Caenorhabditis elegans: one gene and its partners. The protein of the gene in region 2 purifies or fractionates together with the protein of the main gene of each other region. This does not show direct contact. Each region holds a gene or a part of one and is shown on either strand. Other genes may lie near its edges.

Evidence for each region.
Region 1: the proteins of sel-10 (region 2) and fem-2 purify together in Caenorhabditis elegans (affinity purification with western blotting, with the first as the bait; one study listed by BioGRID). This does not show direct contact.
Region 3: the proteins of sel-10 (region 2) and fem-3 purify together in Caenorhabditis elegans (affinity purification with western blotting, with the first as the bait; one study listed by BioGRID). This does not show direct contact.

The regions. Positions count from the first base shown.
Region 1 is NC_003281.10:630,594-637,333, reverse strand, and holds fem-2 (Protein phosphatase fem-2), read left to right. Parts: upstream 1-2,707; 5' UTR 2,708-2,761; coding exon 2,762-2,800; intron 2,801-2,854; coding exon 2,855-3,194; intron 3,195-3,605; coding exon 3,606-3,802; intron 3,803-3,852; coding exon 3,853-4,462; intron 4,463-4,761; coding exon 4,762-4,925; 3' UTR 4,926-5,315; downstream 5,316-6,740. Other genes in the region: sbds-1 (Ribosome maturation protein SBDS), read left to right, coding at 196-621; eakr-4 (EAK-4 Related), read left to right, coding at 1,167-1,292, 1,641-1,739, 1,794-1,853, 1,914-2,036, 2,094-2,441; T19C3.6 (uncharacterized protein), read left to right, coding at 6,347-6,475. UniProt on the Caenorhabditis elegans protein: Dephosphorylates auto-phosphorylated Ca(2+)/calmodulin-dependent protein kinase unc-43/CAMKII in vitro. Involved in the regulation of sex determination.
Region 2 is NC_003283.11:13,816,870-13,824,383, forward strand, and holds sel-10 (F-box/WD repeat-containing protein sel-10), read left to right. Parts: upstream 1-2,491; 5' UTR 2,492-2,495; coding exon 2,496-2,585; intron 2,586-2,650; coding exon 2,651-2,718; intron 2,719-2,760; coding exon 2,761-2,857; exon of another isoform or gene 2,858-2,980; intron 2,981-3,091; coding exon 3,092-3,226; intron 3,227-3,274; coding exon 3,275-3,420; intron 3,421-3,468; coding exon 3,469-3,588; intron 3,589-3,648; coding exon 3,649-4,041; intron 4,042-4,388; coding exon 4,389-4,614; intron 4,615-4,663; coding exon 4,664-4,846; intron 4,847-5,153; coding exon 5,154-5,295; intron 5,296-5,345; coding exon 5,346-5,509; 3' UTR 5,510-6,111; downstream 6,112-7,514. Other genes in the region: F55B12.2 (Carbohydrate sulfotransferase), read right to left, coding at 41-108; hpo-31 (CCA tRNA nucleotidyltransferase 1, mitochondrial), read left to right, coding at 6,291-6,340, 6,394-6,550, 6,596-6,691, 6,740-6,857, 7,293-7,410, 7,462-7,514. UniProt on the Caenorhabditis elegans protein: Probable substrate recognition component of SCF (SKP1-CUL-F-box protein) E3 ubiquitin-protein ligase complex, which mediates the ubiquitination and subsequent proteasomal degradation of target proteins.
Region 3 is NC_003282.8:9,102,438-9,109,032, forward strand, and holds fem-3 (Sex-determination protein fem-3), read left to right. Parts: upstream 1-2,528; 5' UTR 2,529-2,764; coding exon 2,765-2,835; intron 2,836-2,925; exon of another isoform or gene 2,926-2,933; coding exon 2,934-3,278; intron 3,279-3,323; coding exon 3,324-3,402; intron 3,403-3,773; coding exon 3,774-4,121; intron 4,122-4,203; coding exon 4,204-4,294; intron 4,295-4,674; coding exon 4,675-4,907; 3' UTR 4,908-5,170; downstream 5,171-6,595. Other genes in the region: C01F6.14 (Ovule protein), read right to left, coding at 1,460-1,684; aly-1 (Chromatin target of PRMT1 protein C-terminal domain-containing protein), read left to right, coding at 6,509-6,595. UniProt on the Caenorhabditis elegans protein: Required for male development. In XO (male) animals, fem-3 directs male differentiation in all tissues. In XX (hermaphrodite) animals, it specifies the first 80 or so germ cells to be sperm. Negatively regulates male development when bound to tra-2.

The DNA of each region.
Region 1 (6,740 bases), on a different chromosome or scaffold from region 2:
TCCTGAAAAATCTCAATTTTCCTCTAAAAAATTCCTAAAAAATTCCTAAAAAATTTCAATTTTCCTCCAAAAAAATTCCTGAAAAATCCCAATTTTTTCTAAAAATTCCTAAAAAATCTTAATTTTCTCCCAAACAAGTTCCTGAAAATTTTTAATTTTTCTTCAAAAAAATCCTGAAAAATCTCAATTTTCCAGGTATCCCAGCTGATTGCCTCAATGGTCGTAAATCCTGAAACGAAGCGTCCAGTTCCACCGTCAGTAATCGATAAAGCTCTACAAGAAATGCACTTTTCCCTGAAACCGAATCGTTCCTCAAAGCAGCAGGCTCTCGACGCAATTCCAAAACTTCGTGAAACTCTGAAAATCGAACGAGCCAAGATGAAGATCCGTGTGGCGATTCCGACAAAAGAAGCGAAATCCGTGCACACGAAGCTTAAAACCCTATTCAGTGACGTGGAAGTTGACGATTGGCAGGATGGAAGCCTCGAGATGGTTGGGCTCATTGAGCCCGGATCGTTCAGAGCTTTGGACGATTTGGTCCGAAATGAGACGAAGGGACACGGAAGATTGGAGATTCTCAGCTTGAAGGATGTCGTCGAAGGAGAATTGCAGATTTCTTAAATTTCATGTTAAAAATTTTATTTTTTTGTTGCTTTTTTGCTCTTTTGCACTCAAAATGTGCAGACATTTTTGAGTGTTTTTCTTTTTTTCCCCTCCACACACCCGAGAATTCTTTTTGGATCTCAAATTGTTATCATCAACGTTCCCATGTTTTTTCCCAGTTACCAAAAACTTTTTGTGTCAGGTTTTCAGAAATCATTATTGCTTTTAAATGAAAAGTGTTAATCTTACAAATTTTTGAGAAAAACAATTTGGAAAAAAACCCCAGGAACATGATTTGAAGGCTAGAAAACTAATTCTCTAAGTTTCCCCGGCTCGAAAAAAATTCGTTCAATATTTATTTTCCATCACTTTGCATAATTTACAGTACTCACCAGGCCAGCGAAATTCATGAAATTGTACAATTTTCTTGTTGTTTTTCCAACAAAATTTAAAAATAACCCGGACTAGTCGAAAACAAGGCAGTCGTGGGGTACTGTAAATTAGGCGGCCTACCAAGTTGAGCCTTCGCCAAGTAATCCTCTATTTCCCTGTCACAACCGATAATGGGGCAATGTCTTGGAACCCTGTGCACTGTAGATTCAGCTACAGATAATATTTCCAGCGTCTATCAGCTGGCAGGCCCAGTTGCGGTGAAAGAGAGCCCACGTATTGCTGAACGGGACCCAAAGGTAATATTTTTCGTTTTTTTTTCAGAGTCTTATGTTTTCAATCTTTTTTGCTGAGAAACCTTCGAAAAAAAAAACAAATCTAAGCTTAAGTCTAAACCTAAGCCTATGCCTGGAGACACAAGCCTAAGCCTACGCATAAGCCTAGGCCTAAACCTAAGCCTACACCTAAGCTTAAGCCTAAAGGTTAGCCTAAGACTAAGCTCACACCTAAGCCTAAGACTCAGCCAAAGCCTAAGACTCAGCCTAGGCCTCAGCCAAAGCCTACGCCTAAGTCTATGCCAATTTCTAAGTCTATGCCTTTGACAATACCTAAACGTATGCCTATACCTAAGCTCAAGAAATTTTCAGGTCAAAATCTCTGTGAATCCCGAGGAGGAAAATGTTGAACGCCCCTGTGTACTTTACTCGAAAAGTAACGAGATTATCAAAAAACCGGATATTTTTGAGGTGAGAATATTCTTAATCACGGGCACGGATTTTCTCAAATTTATAAATTTTTAGGAAATCTACAAGCGCACACCGATCACCCTCTCGAATAACGGTAGAATTGACGTTGCCGAGGTTTTTTAAACATATTTTTTTCAAAATTACATTTATCAAGAACTGAATTAATGAATTCAGCTTCCCGCCGGACAACGAGTCATTGAAGTAGAGAACAACGAGGTTCGCGACAAGTATAAAAAAACGTTGTACGAGATTCGGAGAAAATGCAGGGAACTTCAGAATTTGGGTGCTGAGGATGAGGTAGGCGGCCTTCAATGGCGTTTGAGTTAACTCAAGAAAAATCTGCGATTTTTCCAGGAAACCGGTGAAATCATCGATACTCTTCTTATTCTTTACAAGGACTTCTTCTTACTAACCACGTGGAAAATCGATAAGTACGCCCAGTTGAGAAAAAATGCCGCAGTTCAAGCTTACAACTCGCTACCCAAGCTTAGAGCCGACCCCGCTGAATTCCGATGCCACGTGGAGTTTCAGTATCGCGTGGCAAATGAGCTATGGGAGCATTTCAAGGAGACATATATCCACAAATATGAAGCATGTAATTGGGCGGAGAGGGCGAAAGTGAAGGAATGGGATCTTTTGGACAGCCAAGTACAGACGCCGAATGTGGAGTGGGATTATCTTGGCGCGCATGGATATATATGAATAATTGATTTTTATTTTAAATTTTTGATCCATTTTTGATTTGATAAAAATGTTATTAATACAATACAATGCGAATTAAATTAATATTTCGCGCGAGAAACGCGCCAACGCACCGAAAGTGCGCAAACGAGAAGCTTTGCGCGTTTCTGGTGCAGAAAATTCTGCATTATTTTTTTGTTGATTTTTCCTCATTTTGTGTTGAAATCCATTGTTTTTTCTCGGTTTTTCTCTGATTTTTATGTTAAAAACAATTATTGAAATGTCAGATCAACCCAGCTGTCCCACCGAAGCCGGTAGTGGTTTTAAAACTGGAAAAATACATGGAAAAAGTAAACGAGGAGCGGGATGCGGTTTTCGAGGTAGAAAACGGGATTTTATATATTTAATGCTAGTTAGAAAAATGTATATTCCAGGATCACATCGGCGATCGCCGTCGAAGTGTCCGGTCACTTCTGGAGGAGGCATTTGCAGATGAAATGGAGAAAACTAGCTATGACGTCGAGGTTGCCGACACTCCACAACCGCATATTCCAATACGTTTCCGTCATCCACCAATCGCCGGACCAGTTCATGATGTTTTCGGAGACGCGATTCACGACATTTTCCAGAAAATGATGAAAAGAGGCCAGGCGGTCGACTTTTGTCACTGGGTGTCTCACTTGATCGCCACAGAAATTGACGAGAAATTCAGTGAAGTTGCGTTCAGAGATGTTCAGTATAATCCTGATATTTATGTTACCGATAGTACCACAGGTAATTATTAAATGTGCAAAATCTGCTATTAATTTAGCAGACCAAGCATGGGCCTGCTAAATATTCAGCAGGCCTATCCCCATTGGTCTGCTAAATATTTAGCATACCTAACTTGGGTCTGCTAAATATTTAGCAGACCCATCCCCATTGGTCTGCTAATTATTTAGCAGACCAACTATGGGTCTGCTAATTATTTAGCAGACCACCTATGGGTCTGCTAAATATTTAGCATACCTACCATGAGTCTGCTAAATATTTAGCAGACCTATCCTCATTGGTCTGCTAAATATTTTTAGCTGGCCATTCCCCATTGATCTGCTAATTTTTGCAAAAATAAAACTTGTTAAATAGAATTTTTAAAAAATCTTCAAAAACTCAACACTTCTGTTCATCAATACAACTTATTTTCAGAAGCCAAAAAGCTATTCAACGACAAAATTTGGCCGGCGATCGACAAGATTCTCCAGCAAAACGCCGAAACGTGCCCGATTCTGTCTGAAAAGTGGTCTGGAATCCACGTGTCGGGCGATCAACTGAAAGGGCAACGTCACAAGCAAGAAGATCGGTTTTTGGCGTATCCTAATGGGCAATATATGGATCGTGGAGAGGTTTAGGAGGATTTTAGGCCTGGAAAATTACTGAAAAATGAAATTTTTAGGATCCAATTTCGGTGTTAGCGGTGTTCGATGGTCACGGTGGTCACGAGTGCTCTCAGTACGCAGCCGGGCACCTTTGGGAGACATGGTTGGAGGTTCGAAAATCGCGAGATCCTTCAGATAGCCTCGAAGATCAGCTTCGCAAGTCGCTGGAGCTTCTCGACGAACGAATGACTGTCAGAAGTGTGAAAGAGTGTTGGAAGGGTGGAAGTACAGCTGTCTGCTGTGCAATCGACATGGATCAGAAGCTTATGGCGCTGGCGTGGCTCGGTGACTCACCCGGATACGTCATGTCGAACATTGAATTCCGTCAGTTGACACGTGGACACTCGCCATCCGATGAACGGGAAGCTCGGCGTGTTGAGGAAGCTGGCGGCCAGCTTTTTGTGATTGGAGGCGAATTGCGGGTGAACGGAGTTCTAAATCTCACCCGAGCACTCGGAGATGTTCCTGGACGGCCGATGATCTCTAATGAACCGGAAACGTGTCAGGTGCCTATTGAAAGCTCGGATTATCTGGTGCTCCTGGCTTGTGATGGAATTTCTGATGTTTTCAACGAGCGTGACCTGTACCAGTTGGTGGAGGCATTTGCGAATGATTATCCTGTTGAAGGTTAATAAAAATTCTTGGAGAAAAACTAAATTTCCAAAGCCAAAAACTATTTTTTCGTTTTTTTTTTCTGAAAAAAAATCAGAAGATTGGCTATTTTTCGGGGGTTTTCAAAAAAAAAAGTAAAGATTTTCGAATTATTGTATTTTTAAAAAAGAAAATCGGGTAATTTACTAAAATTTGAAAAAATCAATTTTTAAAAAAACCATTCAAAATTATTTTTAAGGTAAAAAACATTAGCCGACGTTACTTTATTTTTTAATGTAGAAAATTCTTTAAAAATCGAAAAAAAATTTTTTCAGACTACGCGGAGCTCTCCCGTTTCATCTGTACAAAAGCGATTGAGGCTGGAAGTGCCGACAACGTGTCTGTTGTGATTGGCTTTTTGCGTCCACCGCAGGATGTGTGGAAGCTTATGAAACATGAATCAGACGATGAAGATTCCGATGTCACTGATGAGGAATAACTGCTTTTCGGTGGAAATTTTGCCTGAAAATTGGGAAAATTCTTGCTAAACTTCGGTTGATTTTCTCAAATTTTTGTCGTTTTTTTTCCTAATTTTCGGTCGATTTTATCAAATTTTCCCCTGTTTTCCTGTGTCTATTTGTTTTTTGGGTATTCCAATTTTCTCTCTCCTATTCACCATATCGTCGTCATTTCTCCCCGTTATCTAGCAGCTTTCCGTGACCCACACACATATTTTGTTCTCGGTGTTCCTGTAGCATTTCACATTTACATACGTTTCCAACCAGTTGGCATCCCACCAAAAATCCGAGTACTTTCCTTCTCCTCCTCCACTTGAACATATATTTGATTTGAATTTATTTTATGATATAAATTGTATAATGACGTGGAATTACTGGGATATTGAGTAGCTGAATAGGTTTTTGAGACACTTTTTGAACACTGAATTTTCATAAATGACTGTAAACTTTTCAACTCGTGAAAAATGTAAAAAATCGGAGTATACCAGTCATTTTCAGTAGAAAATCTCCTTTTCAATTGAAAATCCGGGATTTTTCGAAAGAAAAGCTCGAAAACACCGCGAAAAAATGATTAAAAAAGTCATATTTTCAAGAGGGAATTTCAAATTTCCCGCTTACAGCAAATGCGCTCTATTAACAAAGAAAGCAGAATTTAGCTGAAACACGGCCCGGCAAAGGGTACATCAGTGTAAACGCGCTCTACTGATAATTGCAGTTTAGCCAGGTTTGGGCGCGTTTTAAGGAAAAAAGATTTGGTCCAAAAAATTTTGAATTTAATTTTTTTTTATGGTGGAATTTTACAAAATTTGATTTTTTTTAAATTTTCGATACGAAATTCTAATTTAGCGTCATTGGTGATTTTACAAATTTTCAGCATTTTGTCGTCAAATTTGGTGTTGCCACAGTACTTACATACTTTTGGAGCTACAGTAACCCAATGTTCACCGACATGTGGCGCCAGACTGTCCCATCGCTCTACTGCGCCAGAAAAGCGTGAAAATATTTTTTGAAATTTTGTGACGTCACAGAGCATTTCGAATAATTGTTTTTGCAGTTTAAGCCTCGATTTTCGCCGTTTTTTGCGTCGAATAACTTTAATTTATAAAAATGATATATTAAAATGAACTTACTATTAGGAAGATATACATATAACCCTTTAAAAATCTGAATTATTATTAAATTGTTCCCTTTTTTTTCTATTCATCACAATTTCTAGTCATGTAGACAATAACAATTAGAAGATGCACAAAAACGGCATATTTATAATTTTTCACCCAATTTTGTACAGTATCCAAATTCATATACGACACCCCCTGCCAAATTCTGAGAAAAACAATTAGAGGCGCATATAAAATTTGGTCGACTTCACTTTTTTTTTCTCATTTTCACTCGATTTTCTGCGATGGGATTGGTTACAAGTATTCTGGGACGGCGAGAGTATCGTTTGCTCCAAAATTCGGTTACCAAGAAGCATTTGTGCAAATTTATGGGTGTAGAGTTCGACTACAATGACTTGGATGAGATTACCGAGGTGAGATGATTTTTTATGATTTTAATGCTATGCCTACACCAAGCCTACCACACATGGTGCCAGGCTGTCCCATTACGGTTTGATCTACAAAAAATGCGGGAATTTTTCGCCCAGAAAAATGTGACGTCAGCACGTTCCTGACCATGCGAAATCATTTTAGAACTCTGCGTCTCAACTCCCGCATTTTTGTAGATCTGCGTAGATCAAACCGAAATGGGACTCTGACAACGCCCTCCTTCATCAGTTAAGTGTCGAATTAAAAGAA
Region 2 (7,514 bases):
CCCTGAAACCTACAGTAGTATCGAGTCCTAATCAACTTACCGATCCGCAGACTGTTTTCTAACAATTTTCAGATTTGTCAGTAGAAATAAATGCCCATTCTTGGTCATGATCATTTGGTAACCATAAAAGATCGTCGTTGTCTTTTGATTCTCGTTTGCCAAATAGAGCAAGACACGGTTGTTTGATGCCAAAACGGAGGGAGTAGACACAAAAATGGGACAGAATAGAGTGTGGAGTGATTTTTAAAATGTAAACATTTCCAGGATATGAGCCACAAAAAGGGATATAGACCGGCAGCAAACATTACTGTACATGATGTATGAAAAAAAGAATGCCGACCAATCAAAATCACATTGAACGATGGTTGTGTCTGGATCTCAATGATCTCGGATGAAAATGGGAGTAATTAAATTGTGCCTAAAAGTAGTTTCAAAGTTGCATCCATTTTTGATGCTTCCACTTCAACTTTTGAACACACGTAGATTACCAGAATTTCAAATCGGATCAGAAAGTAAATACCGTAGTTCTTTTGTTGTAGGGGTGGGCGGTAATCAAGGAATTTTCTAAAAAATGTTCAATTTCGGCAATTTCTGAACATGCCGTTTTTCGATAAACCAACAAACAGATCATCATATTGTAATCAAAAAGTTTGTAAGTTGGCCATTTATATTTGAAAATAAATAAAGCTCTACAAAAATAATACATTTGTTTTTCTGAAATACCCATTTTTAATAATTTGTGGGCAACATATAATAGTCTTAACAACAGACTGAACACTTTTTAATTTTAAATCAGGTATACCCACTATTTCATTTTCTAGACACCATACCGAAAACCCTAAATTTTGGCAACACGTATGATGTTGGTATTTGATTTTATCCTTAAATTTACAATTAGAGCTCATTTTTATTCTGTTTTTGTTTCTATAGTTTTGCAGTTCAAATTTTAATTATAATGTGAAAATCTTCCAAGAAAACATTTTTTCAGCTTTCCAAAATCGTTCTACAGAAATTTCCGAATTGGTCAGGTCTCTTTCAACTAATCGAATTTTTTGACATACTGGAGCTGGACTAGTATCAAAATTGCCAAATTATTTTAATTTAATTATTTTCATGTTTCGTCGTCCTTTTTTTATCGAAATGATATAGGTAGAAAGGCGTGAAAATAAAAATATATTTCACGAATTTATTGTCTGATACCAACGTCATTCTTGAATAGATTTGGATTTTATTTCAGTTTTTATTTCACTAAATAAACATATCAAAAGTGTTGGAAATTGTGGCTCCTCCTGAAGTCGAACAATCGGAATTTCCGTTTTCAGAGAATGTAGGCTATTTCAAATAATCGTATTTTTCGGTTTTGTGCAATTTCTAGCATATTGAATATATATCTTGCAAATGTGATGTGTTGCTGACAAATATGAATTTTAACTTTCGCTGATAAATATCAGTACAATTTATGAATTGAATCCTCTCAATCACATCTCAATTCTTTCATATTCGTCCCCCCGCAATACAAAGCCAATAAAGTGTGAAAAACAAAGAAATGGAGCAAATAGTGAGCTATGACTCAACTAACGTATTTCAGATGGGAATTGCAGTTTAGTCATGAATGTGTTATCATATCAGAAATAGTTCTTGACATTTGTGAAGAAATATTATACAGAAATTCCAAAGCGATTGTTTCCAATTGTGGCAGGTGTTCGTGTCTCTTTTTCTGTCAGTTTATGGTATTCATTTCCATAAAATTACCCCCTCGGTAGCCACAGATGGTCATAATTCTTTTGAATTCAGTTATGGAAATACCACATTACGTTCAGAATGTTACAGATTTTAAATCATTTTTCTTTTGTGGTTGTAAATTGAATCACTTGTTTTAAAAAACCATATTACCTATATGTATTATTTTATTCAAAAACTGAATTAATATACTCAGTTTAAAATTTCAAAACAAGAGTTTTCGTGGGATGCAGTTCGTTTTTTAAATTCCTTATTATCCTGAAATTTATAAGGATGGTTTACTTGTGCAATACGAAACAACCTTTCCGTAAAAATGATTTTGAAACAAGGTTGAACACATTTTTCTGCACCATCATGAAGGACGAGAACCCAGCTGTCATATGCAACAGCAGTGACCATCGAACACCTGCTTCTTCTGTGAAACTGATTATGTGACCGACAAGTCGGACATTTTATATTTTATTTTACACGAGAATATTTGTTGAAGTTATCTTATCAACTTTATACACTTTATATGCATAGAAAATGTTTCATCGTGTGAACATCAAGTGAACAAACGTGCGCGTCGGAAAATGCGTCAAGCGGTTATTGGCGCACTACTGGATGCCTTGACGCATATCGCGTGCAAAAAGCTTTCATCTTCTCTTCTCATTTTCTCACGAAAATCATAGTTTTATCGACTTTCCTTTTGTGTTCAAATTCTTCATTCCCAGTAGTTTTTGTCCTTTATTCATTTCCAATTCTTTTTCAGCCATATGTGGCCACGAAATGATGTACACATGGATGATGGATCGATGACACCGGAGGACCAGGAGCCTGTTACCGATAATGATATGGAATATAATGTATGTTAACATTTACAACCCTTTTCAGAATATAATTTAATTCTAATTGAAATGTTTGTCTTCAGGACAATGGAGAAGAAAGCTCGTACAGCAATGGCTCTTCTTCCAGCTACAATGCTGACAAATTATCGTCGTAAGCCTTTTTGTAGTGAATATTTATAGCAAAACGTACCAGTTCCAGACCTTTGCAACACAAACTTGATTTATCGGCTTCTCCCTCTCGAAACAACGACCTCAATCCGCGTGTCGAACATTTGATCGCATTATTCAAGGTAAACATATTGATTGATTGTCGCGATCAATCTTTCAGCGTTGCGGCTAATACACATGCAATAAATTAATATTTGAATGCGACAATAATTAGTAACATGACAAAACAATGCATTCAAGCTCCGGTGAGGGTGACCTGTGTATTATTGATTTTTCCAAACCTTGAAGAGAGCACCTCAGCCAGGCATATTCGCTCTATTTTTGCTGAAAAAAAGTGTAATTTGAATTCATTTTAGGATCTATCAAGCGCGGAACAAATGGATGCATTCACACGTCTGCTTCAGGAATCCAACATGACAAATATTCGACAGCTGCGTGCCATTATTGAACCCCATTTCCAGCGTGATTTCCTCTCCTGCCTCCCTGTCGAGGTATTTGTGTTGAAACGGAAAGAAAAATTATAAATATAACTTTTTCAGCTCGGAATGAAAATCCTTCACAATTTAACCGGATATGACCTGCTCAAAGTGGCACAGGTGTCGAAAAATTGGAAATTGATATCTGAAATTGACAAAATTTGGAAGAGTCTTGGTGTCGAAGAGTTTAAACATCATCCAGATCCCACGTAATACTTTTGAACGGGAATTATTTGAGATTAGTATTATCTTTTCAGAGACCGAGTTACTGGTGCGTGGCAAGGAACTGCAATTGCTGCTGGAGTCACTATTCCTGATCACATTCAGCCATGTGATCTTAATGTTCATCGATTTCTAAAGTTGCAGAAGTTTGGAGAGTACGTTTATTGGAAATATTATTTTTAAAGACGTTCCGATCACATTCGATTTATTTTCAGTATCTTCGAACGCGCTGCTGACAAGTCACGTTATCTTCGAGCCGATAAAATTGAAAAGAACTGGAATGCGAATCCAATTATGGGGTCAGCAGTGCTACGAGGACACGAAGATCATGTAATCACTTGTATGCAAATTCATGATGATGTCTTGGTGACTGGATCTGACGATAACACTCTTAAAGTATGGTGTATTGACAAAGGAGAGGTTATGTACACACTAGTCGGCCACACTGGAGGAGTTTGGACATCACAGATTTCTCAATGCGGAAGATATATTGTTAGCGGGTCCACTGATAGAACTGTAAAAGTTTGGAGTACTGTAGATGGTTCACTTCTTCATACACTTCAAGGACATACTTCCACTGTTCGATGCATGGCTATGGCTGGTTCCATGTAAGGCTATTCACTATGATAACTGCTTGGAAAAAGAAATTTAATACTGAAAATTTCGGGTTTCGTACAGTTGAATTCCCTAATTTGCGAGCTATATCAAATCTTGATGGAAAGTTTTTGATTTGTAGATCATTTATATCTTAAGAAAATTATTCTATCTAATTTCACAAAAAAAGTTTATGGTAATTTTTTTAAAACTTTTGTTTCAAAATAGAAAAACACGAACGTGTATTTGGTTGTTTAAGACTTTTTTAATACATTTTCTATCTTAAAAATGAGAAGAAAACGAAAAATCTCGCTGAATAACCACACTTTCAACCCATACATTTTAATTTTAATACTTTCAGACTTGTCACTGGATCACGAGATACCACTCTTCGTGTATGGGACGTAGAATCCGGACGTCACCTGGCAACTTTACATGGCCATCATGCAGCCGTTCGATGCGTTCAATTCGATGGAACAACTGTTGTTTCGGGAGGATATGATTTTACCGTTAAAATTTGGAATGCTCATACTGGGAGATGTATCCGTACTCTGACCGGTCATAACAATAGAGTTTATTCTCTTCTCGTACGTTTTTCTTATAACAAAATCCGAAAAATAATGTTTTTGTTTTCAGTTTGAAAGCGAGCGATCGATCGTGTGCTCTGGCTCTCTGGACACTTCAATTCGCGTGTGGGATTTTACACGACCGGAAGGCCAAGAATGTGTGGCTCTTTTGCAAGGACACACCTCACTTACATCCGGAATGCAACTTCGAGGCAATATTCTCGTGTCATGCAATGCAGATAGCCATGTTAGAGTAAGTATAGAGATGTAAGATTGAGAAACTTGTCATAGTTAAACATTTGTACGAGAGTCTGAATCGCTCTCCTGTTAAACAATTAGAGACCAATTCCAATTAATAAAATTGGTCCTGATGTTTCACTGCGTTTTCTGTCTCTCTGCGGCTGTTTCTACAAAAGCCAATATTCGATGGCAAACAAAGGTGTACGGATCTGAAATGATTTTCAAAAGTATGGAAAAGCACAAAAGCGTAGTAGATAAAGTAACCCTCACATTGTGAGAACATTGAAAAATTGTATTATTTTTTTAAATCATTTTTTCAGGTATGGGATATTCACGAGGGAACTTGTGTACACATGCTTTCTGGACATCGATCCGCTATCACTTCACTTCAATGGTTTGGACGAAATATGGTAGCAACGAGTAGTGACGATGGAACTGTCAAATTGTGGGATATTGAGAGAGGTTAGATCACATAAATTACAGATAGTTTTACCCATAAAAAAATTTTCCAGGTGCACTGATTCGAGATCTAGTAACTTTGGATTCTGGAGGCAATGGTGGCTGTATTTGGAGACTTTGTTCTACTTCTACGATGCTAGCGTGTGCAGTCGGATCTCGTAACAACACCGAGGAGACCAAAGTTATCCTTCTCGACTTTGATGCTGTATACCCTTAACGAATTCTCGAATCTCTGCCCCTGTACATAGAATGTTCTTGCTTAGGAACTAATATTGTACACGATGCCCTCATTTTTAAATCAACAATGCTATCATATCATGGAATATAGTCAAAAGCCAACAGTATTGAAACGTCAAATTTGAGGAAAAACGAATTTATGTGTCTATTCAACTCGTTATATCCCGGCCCGCCACTATAATTTTTCTTTTTTTTACTATTTTTTGTCAGATTCTGTCTCACACTCTTCTCTTTCTCTTTTCGATTGTTTCCCATTAAGTTATCGGGTTTGATTGATTTTATATTTTTATTCAAATGATGGGCTCACTACTCCCAGATTTTGATTTCCTTTATACAATAGTTCAGTCAGTATGTTAGTCCTTATGTGACTTCTTTTTGATCTAATGAGCTTTTTAGTCCCTGTCGGTTCCCTCTTTTTTCGCTTTCATTTTTCGTAAAAACTACTTGTCAAAATTCAAAGTTCTACCCTCGACATTGCCTTTTTTAAAATTTTTGTCTTCGTTTTATCGACTTATGCCAGACGTCATTCGATTAAGTAGGTTAATAACAATTATTTCATAATAATAAATATCGATTCGTGTCATCCGTCTATATGTGATTTTCTTTTAATATCTCTATTGGAGATTTCTCCAAATTATCCTGTAATTTTTCAGTGAGTGAATATCAGCTTTATGAAGTTTGTGTCTAAATTTTTGACCCCAACTACAATAATTAGTTTAACAACCAGAAGTCTATCAACAGCAAAAACTCCAACATACATCATGAATCAAATTGAGCCAACTACAATGAAAATTGATAATGAAGATTTTCGGCAAGTTCCGGATATTTGAAGAATCGTTTTAAGTTTAATTCTATATTTTTCAGAACTCTCTTCACACCTCAACTTTTGAAACTCCGTGATTTATTCGCCAAACGAAATTATGAGCTTCGAATTGCCGGTGGAGCTGTTCGAGATCTACTTATGAACATTCGACCGGCTGACGTTGACTTTGCCAGTACTGCAACACCGACTCAAATGAAGGTTTTAATTGTTTTCCAAATCTCAAAAAAAATATATTTTATTCAGGAAATGTTCGAAGAGGATAAAATTAGAATGCTTCATAAAAGAGGCGAAGAGCACGGAACAATCACGTGTCGCATTGACGATTGTGAAAACTTTGAGGTATTTAGTTTTTAGTTTAATAAATTTAATCTATATACATTTTCCCAGATCACAACGCTTCGTGTAGACATTGTGTGTGATGGAAGAAGGGCTCAAGTTGAATACACAACTGACTGGCAACTTGATGCAAATAGAAGAGATCTTACTATCAATTCACTGTTTTTGGGTTAGTATAGAAATTGGAAATTGAAAGCACTCCGCCCCCGAACCATGGGTCTCGTTAGGAATTGTCAGCAAAACCGTAAATTGAAACTTTCAATTAGTTTCGGCACTTCCGCCAAATTTCAAACATTTTCTGTTTTTTCCTGTTTTTAAAAATAATTTTTATACGGAATTGGATTTAAAATTTATAGTAATATGAAAACCCATTATTCACCTTTCAAATCCGCATAAATTTTTTCAAATCATCATTAGGAAATGAAAAATAATCAAAAACAACAGAAAATCGCCGAAATTAATTGAAAACGTGTGCATTCACGGGCTTTCCGCTAAATACCTAACGAGACCCATAGTTTGTGGGCGGAGTTTTTCAATTGGCAATGGAGCGCGTTCCCATAATATTATATTCTTTGCTCATGAAATATTGGAATTTCTTTTACAGATCTTCATGGAAACGTTGTCGACTATTTCGGTGGAATCAGAGACATTGAAACTCGGCGCATCGCTTTTGTTGGAGACGCTCGTCAGAGAATCCAGGAGGACTATTTACGAATTCTTAGGTTTTTACAATTATCATACATTTTCCTGTTATCAAAATCTCTATATTTCAGATATTTCCGTTTCTTTGGACGAATCAGTGACTGTACGGAACACGAGCACGACA
Region 3 (6,595 bases), on a different chromosome or scaffold from region 2:
TGGGATAAAGGCGAATGATTTTCGACCAATTGAGTTTTCAGGATGGAAACGATCCGGATCGAAAACATCAGGATCCTTCCATTGAGCAGGATCGCGGTGAACAAGGTACAGGTTGAGCAGAAAAGTGACTCCTTTTGGAATATTAAAGCCTCCAATTACTTGATCATCACTCAGTTCTCTCGTAATAATTAAAACAGATGGAAAGAGACGCAGAGCTTCTTTCAATGCACATTCAAGATATTTCATTCTGGAGAGATGTTCAATAGTCACATCTTCATCGTCGCCCATTACTTCATCCAGTTCCGCTTGAACTTTTCTCTGAACGTCGGGATGATTTCCCAGAAGATGAACTGCCCACATTAATCCTGTAGATGTTGTATCGTGACCCTCTAACATGAATGTGTTACCTTCTGCTTGAACATCTGTTTCGTCCATTTGTCCACTGTTTACCATTTCGAGAAGAAGATCCAGGAATGCGAGACGACCTTCCATCTTATAATCATTCTCCTGTAGTGCTTATTTTCTCTCGCCAATCAATTTCTTCGTAAAATCATGGAAAATATGAAGACATTTTTCATGCGTCCGTCCGTCCTCTGTTCTAAAAATACAAATTAATTGACCTTATTAATGATAAAACTACCGTACAAATTGTAAATAAATGAATTCCACATCAAAGGATTATTTGTTCGCTTTGAAATCAGTTTATTGATTGTGTGCACTGCCCATACATACTCGTTATTCTGAAAAAGTATTTAGAAATGTTGAGATTAGAGTTGTTTTCCCAAACCTCAGCGAGTTGAGCGCCGATAGCTATTCCCATGGAAGTTTCGCAGATGATATCAAGAGTACAAAGGGCGATAACGGAGAGAACATCAACTCTTTCACTGAAAATAAACATTTGAAATAAGTAATTATAAATTGAAATTCTCACTCTGCACCAAGGCAACACAATTTCTGAACCAAAATCTTCAATAAAAGAAAATCAAAAAAAGACGCCATTGTTCTTTCTGGCTCGTCAAAATACTGATTCCAAGCCATGGTTCAAGCAAAACGTATGCGAACCCTGTTCAGATGTTTCGTCGACGAGAAAATTGCTTCAACAAGGTCGCCAGAGTAGAGCATCAGGCATGGGAATGGACCAATCCACAGAAGACACATTCGTGGATCTGGATATAAATATCCCATTCCAATCACTTGGTTCATGAATCCCTCTGGATCTGGCTTGGTGATGAGTCCGTGACCGATGATTGGGTATGATCGTGGCTGATTGAGATGCTGAAAATTTATTGAAGTTATTCATAAATTTATTTTGAAATCAAACCTTCAAAGCTTGACGCATTCTCAAGTGTTTGTAGAGCAGCCAAGCGATCACCGTCGCCGAAGCCAGAAGTACAGCGAGGATGATAACCCCCATGCATATGATGAATAAAAAAATATTAAATAAAATAAATGTTTATTTTCATAAAAACTGGACAAATTTCATATATGGACTTATCGGAACAAAAAGAAAGAAATAATAATAAACCAAAAAATTTGAAAATCTATGATAAAACCTTTCAGATAACTTCTCCACAGTCGGTGATGACGCAAGCCTTGGAACCCTTCGTGTTTGATTTATTGAAGGCGATGCGGGAGACAACTTCGGTTCCAGCCAAAACTTTACCAAATGCCACGGTTTTTCCATTCATCGATTCATATGGAAGAATCGAGATGTTGAACAACGAGCTGTTATTGTCTTCTTTCAATCAATTTTCCTGAAAAAAAAAGCTGATTTCAGATGCGGATATTCATGAAATAAAAAAGCAGATGAATAAAAATAAATAAATTCCCATTTCAGTCTCTCAATTTAGAAATGCTGAAAAACTGACCATCGGCAATATTCCCGGATTTTGATGCATTTCAAGATACTTTTCATTTTTGAAATTCTTTTCGGCAAAAAACGTATGGGTCAAACATTAGCCAAATAAATATTCTGAAAAGTTAGTTTTTGATAGCATCTTTTAAGCTGGATTTTGTCAATTTATAAAACTTTTAGATGCCTAAACATCACTTACAAGATTGAAAGCCCAATGAAAAAAACTAATGTTCAAATGAGTTAGCAATGGAGCGCGTTTACGTTCTTTGCGCGAGCTTCGAATTTTTCTGCTTTTATTTTCAGAAAAAAACACTTTCTGAAGTTTTTCAGTTTTCCTTCAATTTGTTATATCTGGTTTCATGCATTTTTTAATCGTAAGAAAATTTCATATTCATTTTAGTTTATCGAAATAAGAATTACTGTTTTAAAAATTAAACAGAATTGAGAAAACCACAAACTAAGCGCCCTGTGTTATTTTTTAACCAAAATTTCTCAGATTTTAAAAGATATTCTGAATTGATGCGAAGTAATCGTGTTTCTCTAAATTATATTCTCAGTTATTCTAAAAATTCCCCTCCTCTTCTCACATGCTCTTTTCCTAATTCTCAATGCAATTTTTCACAATTTATATTATATTCACAACCAAAACTATATTACTAATCGAAAATTGCAGACGCTGTCCGAACAGTTGTAGGAGTGGTGTCGGGCGACGTCAACGTCTCGAAACAGAACCAGGACTGCGAACGCGGAGAATTTTGTCTGCACTCTCTCCGAAGAGAGTGCAGAGAAAACCAGAAACGGGTAGTAGACCACCCAGTCGGTTAACTACGGTGGATTGGAAGAAGTGACCAGCAAGAAATTTCAATGTAAAAATAAGAGAGATTTCCATTTATTTCAATTGTAACTGTAATGGAGGTGGATCCGGGTTCAGATGATGTAGAAGCTGACAGAGAAACGAGAGCTCAGAAACTAAAATTAAAGTAAGTTAAATTTTTTAATGTTTTTTTTTGTTGAAATTGTTTTAAATTCTTTAATTCACATCCAGTCAAACTAAAATGATCAAAAACTAGGTTTTCAGAAGAAATGTCAAATTCCGTGCACAAATGAGAAGATTCGACGAGTACTGTGGAGTGACTAATTTAACAGTAGATGATCTCAATTGGCCTTTAATATCTGGAATTCCTTTACAAAGACAACGATTGACAGGAGCTACGTATTATGATGATAGTCTTCTCGATCAAAATCCTTGGGATGAATTTTCAATTGATCGATTTCTTGAAATTACTTCAATTCAATTAATAACAGCCGGTGCTGGATATGAAAGGAATGATGAAATTACTCGATTCGTTTTTCAAAGAACAATGAAGACAATTGTAACTTATTGCAATTTTATGTATGATTTGGCAAGGCGGAACGGGAAAGTGTGAGGCGAATCTGAAATTTTATAAAATAAAATTTTAATTTTCAGTCAAATAACTCGATTCGAGTTGCAAGATTTGATTCATCGCGATGAATTTCGGTTTTACATGTATTTTCGACAATTTTTAGTGAGTTTCCTTGTTTTATCATAAATTAAAACAAGCTCTACTTACCCGATTTTTTTTTCGATTTTTGAACCAAAAAAGGGATATCCGACTCGACACGACAATTTTTAGTTAAATAAAAACGGGTGTGTGCCTTTAATAAGTACTGTAATTTTAAACTTTCGTCGCTGCGGAATTTTCTTAGTTTTTCGGAAAATTGTTTTAATTAAAAAACTAAAATTACGCAATTACCAAAAAAAAACAGGGATTTTAAGAAATCAGGAAAACATGTAAAAACCGGTGAAAATTTAACAAAAACAAAATCTTGAAATTCCAGTACTCTTCAACGGCGCATTTCCGTTTGTATTTTACTTTTTTTAAAATCCTAATTCCAGCCCAATCCGGATCCGAATTGTACGGCCTTTTCCAATCACTACACGTCTCTTCTTCATACACTCTATTTCAATATTCCGGGAATGCCACAGTTTTGGAACAATTCCCAAATGTATAATTACGCTGCTACCCGTGGTCAACGCCTTGTTCAAAATATCGCCGCTTTTTATCCACCCGAATATTTTTGGAACGAAGATGAATCCAAGTATCATACTACGTTTGTGGTTCCACGTGGCACAGAGTTCTCAAAGTTTTATGCTCGAAGATTTCATGAAGCACTTGGAATGCCACCACTGGAAAATGAGATTATTACGGTTTTGGATTGGCTTGCGAAGCTCTGCATTTTGGAAGTAAGCATTTTAAAAATGTTATTTATGTACTCATATATTAATTTAAAGCTTTTAAGCGTTAAAAACTATTTTACATTTGTAGATTGTATATCACACAACGATTTGGTGCGACATAACTGGATTTGGAGGGCTTCCACGTATTGAGCACTATCGTTTAGCCATGGAGAATGTTGGTAGGAATTTATTGTTAAAATAATTTAAAAGTATATACATGACATGTTTTTCAAAATATAAAACACAATTTTTTTAAAGCGAAACTTTAAAAAATCATCAAAAGTCGAATAGCGTAAAGGGAATTTTTGTTTTCATAGTCGCAAATTTCTAAATTCTACAACAGAAAGACAAAAAATCGACATAAAAAATCCATCGTTTGAAAACATGCTTTTTCGATTTTGGCATTTTTTTGTATTGAATTCAAACCCGGATGTTAGCAAAAATTTTTAAAAAATCACGTTTTCGGTATTACTAAATTCTCCACATTTAAAAAGAGTCCATTCTGAAACTTTTTCGATTAAAAAATTTCTTTCACAACTATGTTTTGTTCTAATTTCAGAAGACATCATATTCGACTTGGCAATTGATGATTTCTCAATTTCCCGTCTACAGTTACAAATTTCGCCGTTTGAAATCTCTCGCTACTCACCTCTAGATGTATCTGGTTATTATGAAACAATTAAAAGAAAAAAAGATATTGAAGAATATCAAAATCGTTTCTATGAAGTTCATTATTCTGATGATGTTCGGATTATGAATGTTTATGCTACTGATTGCTCCAGGAAACGATGATATCAATTGTTATAATGATTTGCTTTTAATTTTAATATTATTTCATTTGAAAGTCTAACTCTCTATATTTTACCCAGATTTCCTATTTAATATCACCGATTTGCCTTCTATCTCACTAACGCTTCTTGTGTCATTCACTTTCGAATCCTCTGGTTTACATTTTGAAAAATGTCATAATGGTACACTGCTAAAAAAAGCTGGTTCCATATCACTTTAATTTGTTTTAAGATTTGTTTAATTTAAAATAAAGGTATAGATAATATCGATTAAGCTGCTTACAATTGGTTAGACGCTACGCAAGTGCGCTCTGGTAGACAAACAATAGCATCTGTTGAGTGCGCAGTTGGTTTACACTCATTCAAATGTGTACGGGTGTGGCATTCGAAACATTTCGAATGAAACACTAAGAGTTCCAGTTGCTTTTACGAGTTTTTGTGTAATTTTCAGTTGATTTAACGTTTATTGCTCATTGCTAGAAGCCGAACTACAAAAAACCCACTATTTGGCAATTAGTCTACTACGACTCAATTGGTAAAATATTTCGAAAGTTATATTTTTCCAATATAACCATCAATTTCATAATGTAGCATCTTTCCTTCAATTTTTAATATTTTTTTGTCATTCTGAATAAAAAAGTACAAAAGTCATGCTGAAAAGGATACATATCGATACAATTCCACATGAATATAATTTGAATTTCTATTCAACTGATATACATTACACATATTCGCGTGTGCTAGAAAACTCGTATTTTCCCATTCGATACATCATCTGCCAACTTTCTTAACAATCCCAAGATCGTCACCCTTTCCTCCACAGCACCAGTCCCGCCTTTTTAACAACGATCTGTTTTTAATGGATGCTCGATCTATATGCATTAATTCATTCTATCATTCATTTACCGAGATGGTCATAACATATTTCATTTATTTATGGTTTTTTTTGCTTTTCCAATGTATTATAGTTATATGAAATTCTCTGTAGTTCTAAAGTAAGTCGCATTTTACCAATCTTTTGTATATATTTTTAAAGCTTTGCTAAACTAAGAAAAATTATACAGGCTAGATTTTTCTAAACTTTATAATTTACAATCTTTAAATTTTGATGTCCAAGTTCCTCTTGATAAGAATCGAGCACTTTATAAAGAAACTACGAATTTAATAATCAATCTTCAACAACTCCCCCAAATTGGTAATTTCTGTGTTTTATTTTTTGATGTCACCTACCTATTCTAATTAAAATAATACTATCTCTGCCAATTTGATAAACGACCTTTCCCATCTTCTCCGAAGTTCCAAGTAGCCATCTCCAGATACTCCATCCACCTAGTCTATCGATTGAAAAGTCTTCACTTCCAAACGCTGCGTTTACCTATTTCCCCATTCTCAGAGAATATCCCACACAGAGTCAATCATTCATTCCGCCGACTTGGTCTCTTTTCCATTTCATTATTTTAATTTATGTACAACAATAGTCAATTGACTATATTAGTTCTCTTATTGCCATTTGCTCACCCTCTTTCAATGTTACATCTCAGCTTTCTACATTCATTGCCTTCAATCAATTATTTATGAATCAAATTTCAGAGAACTTCTATCAAAATGGCTCGTGCTATTGCTATCGATGCTCCACTTTCCGCTGGAATCAGAAGAACAAAGAAAAGTCCAATCAAAAGAGCATCAGTTGGT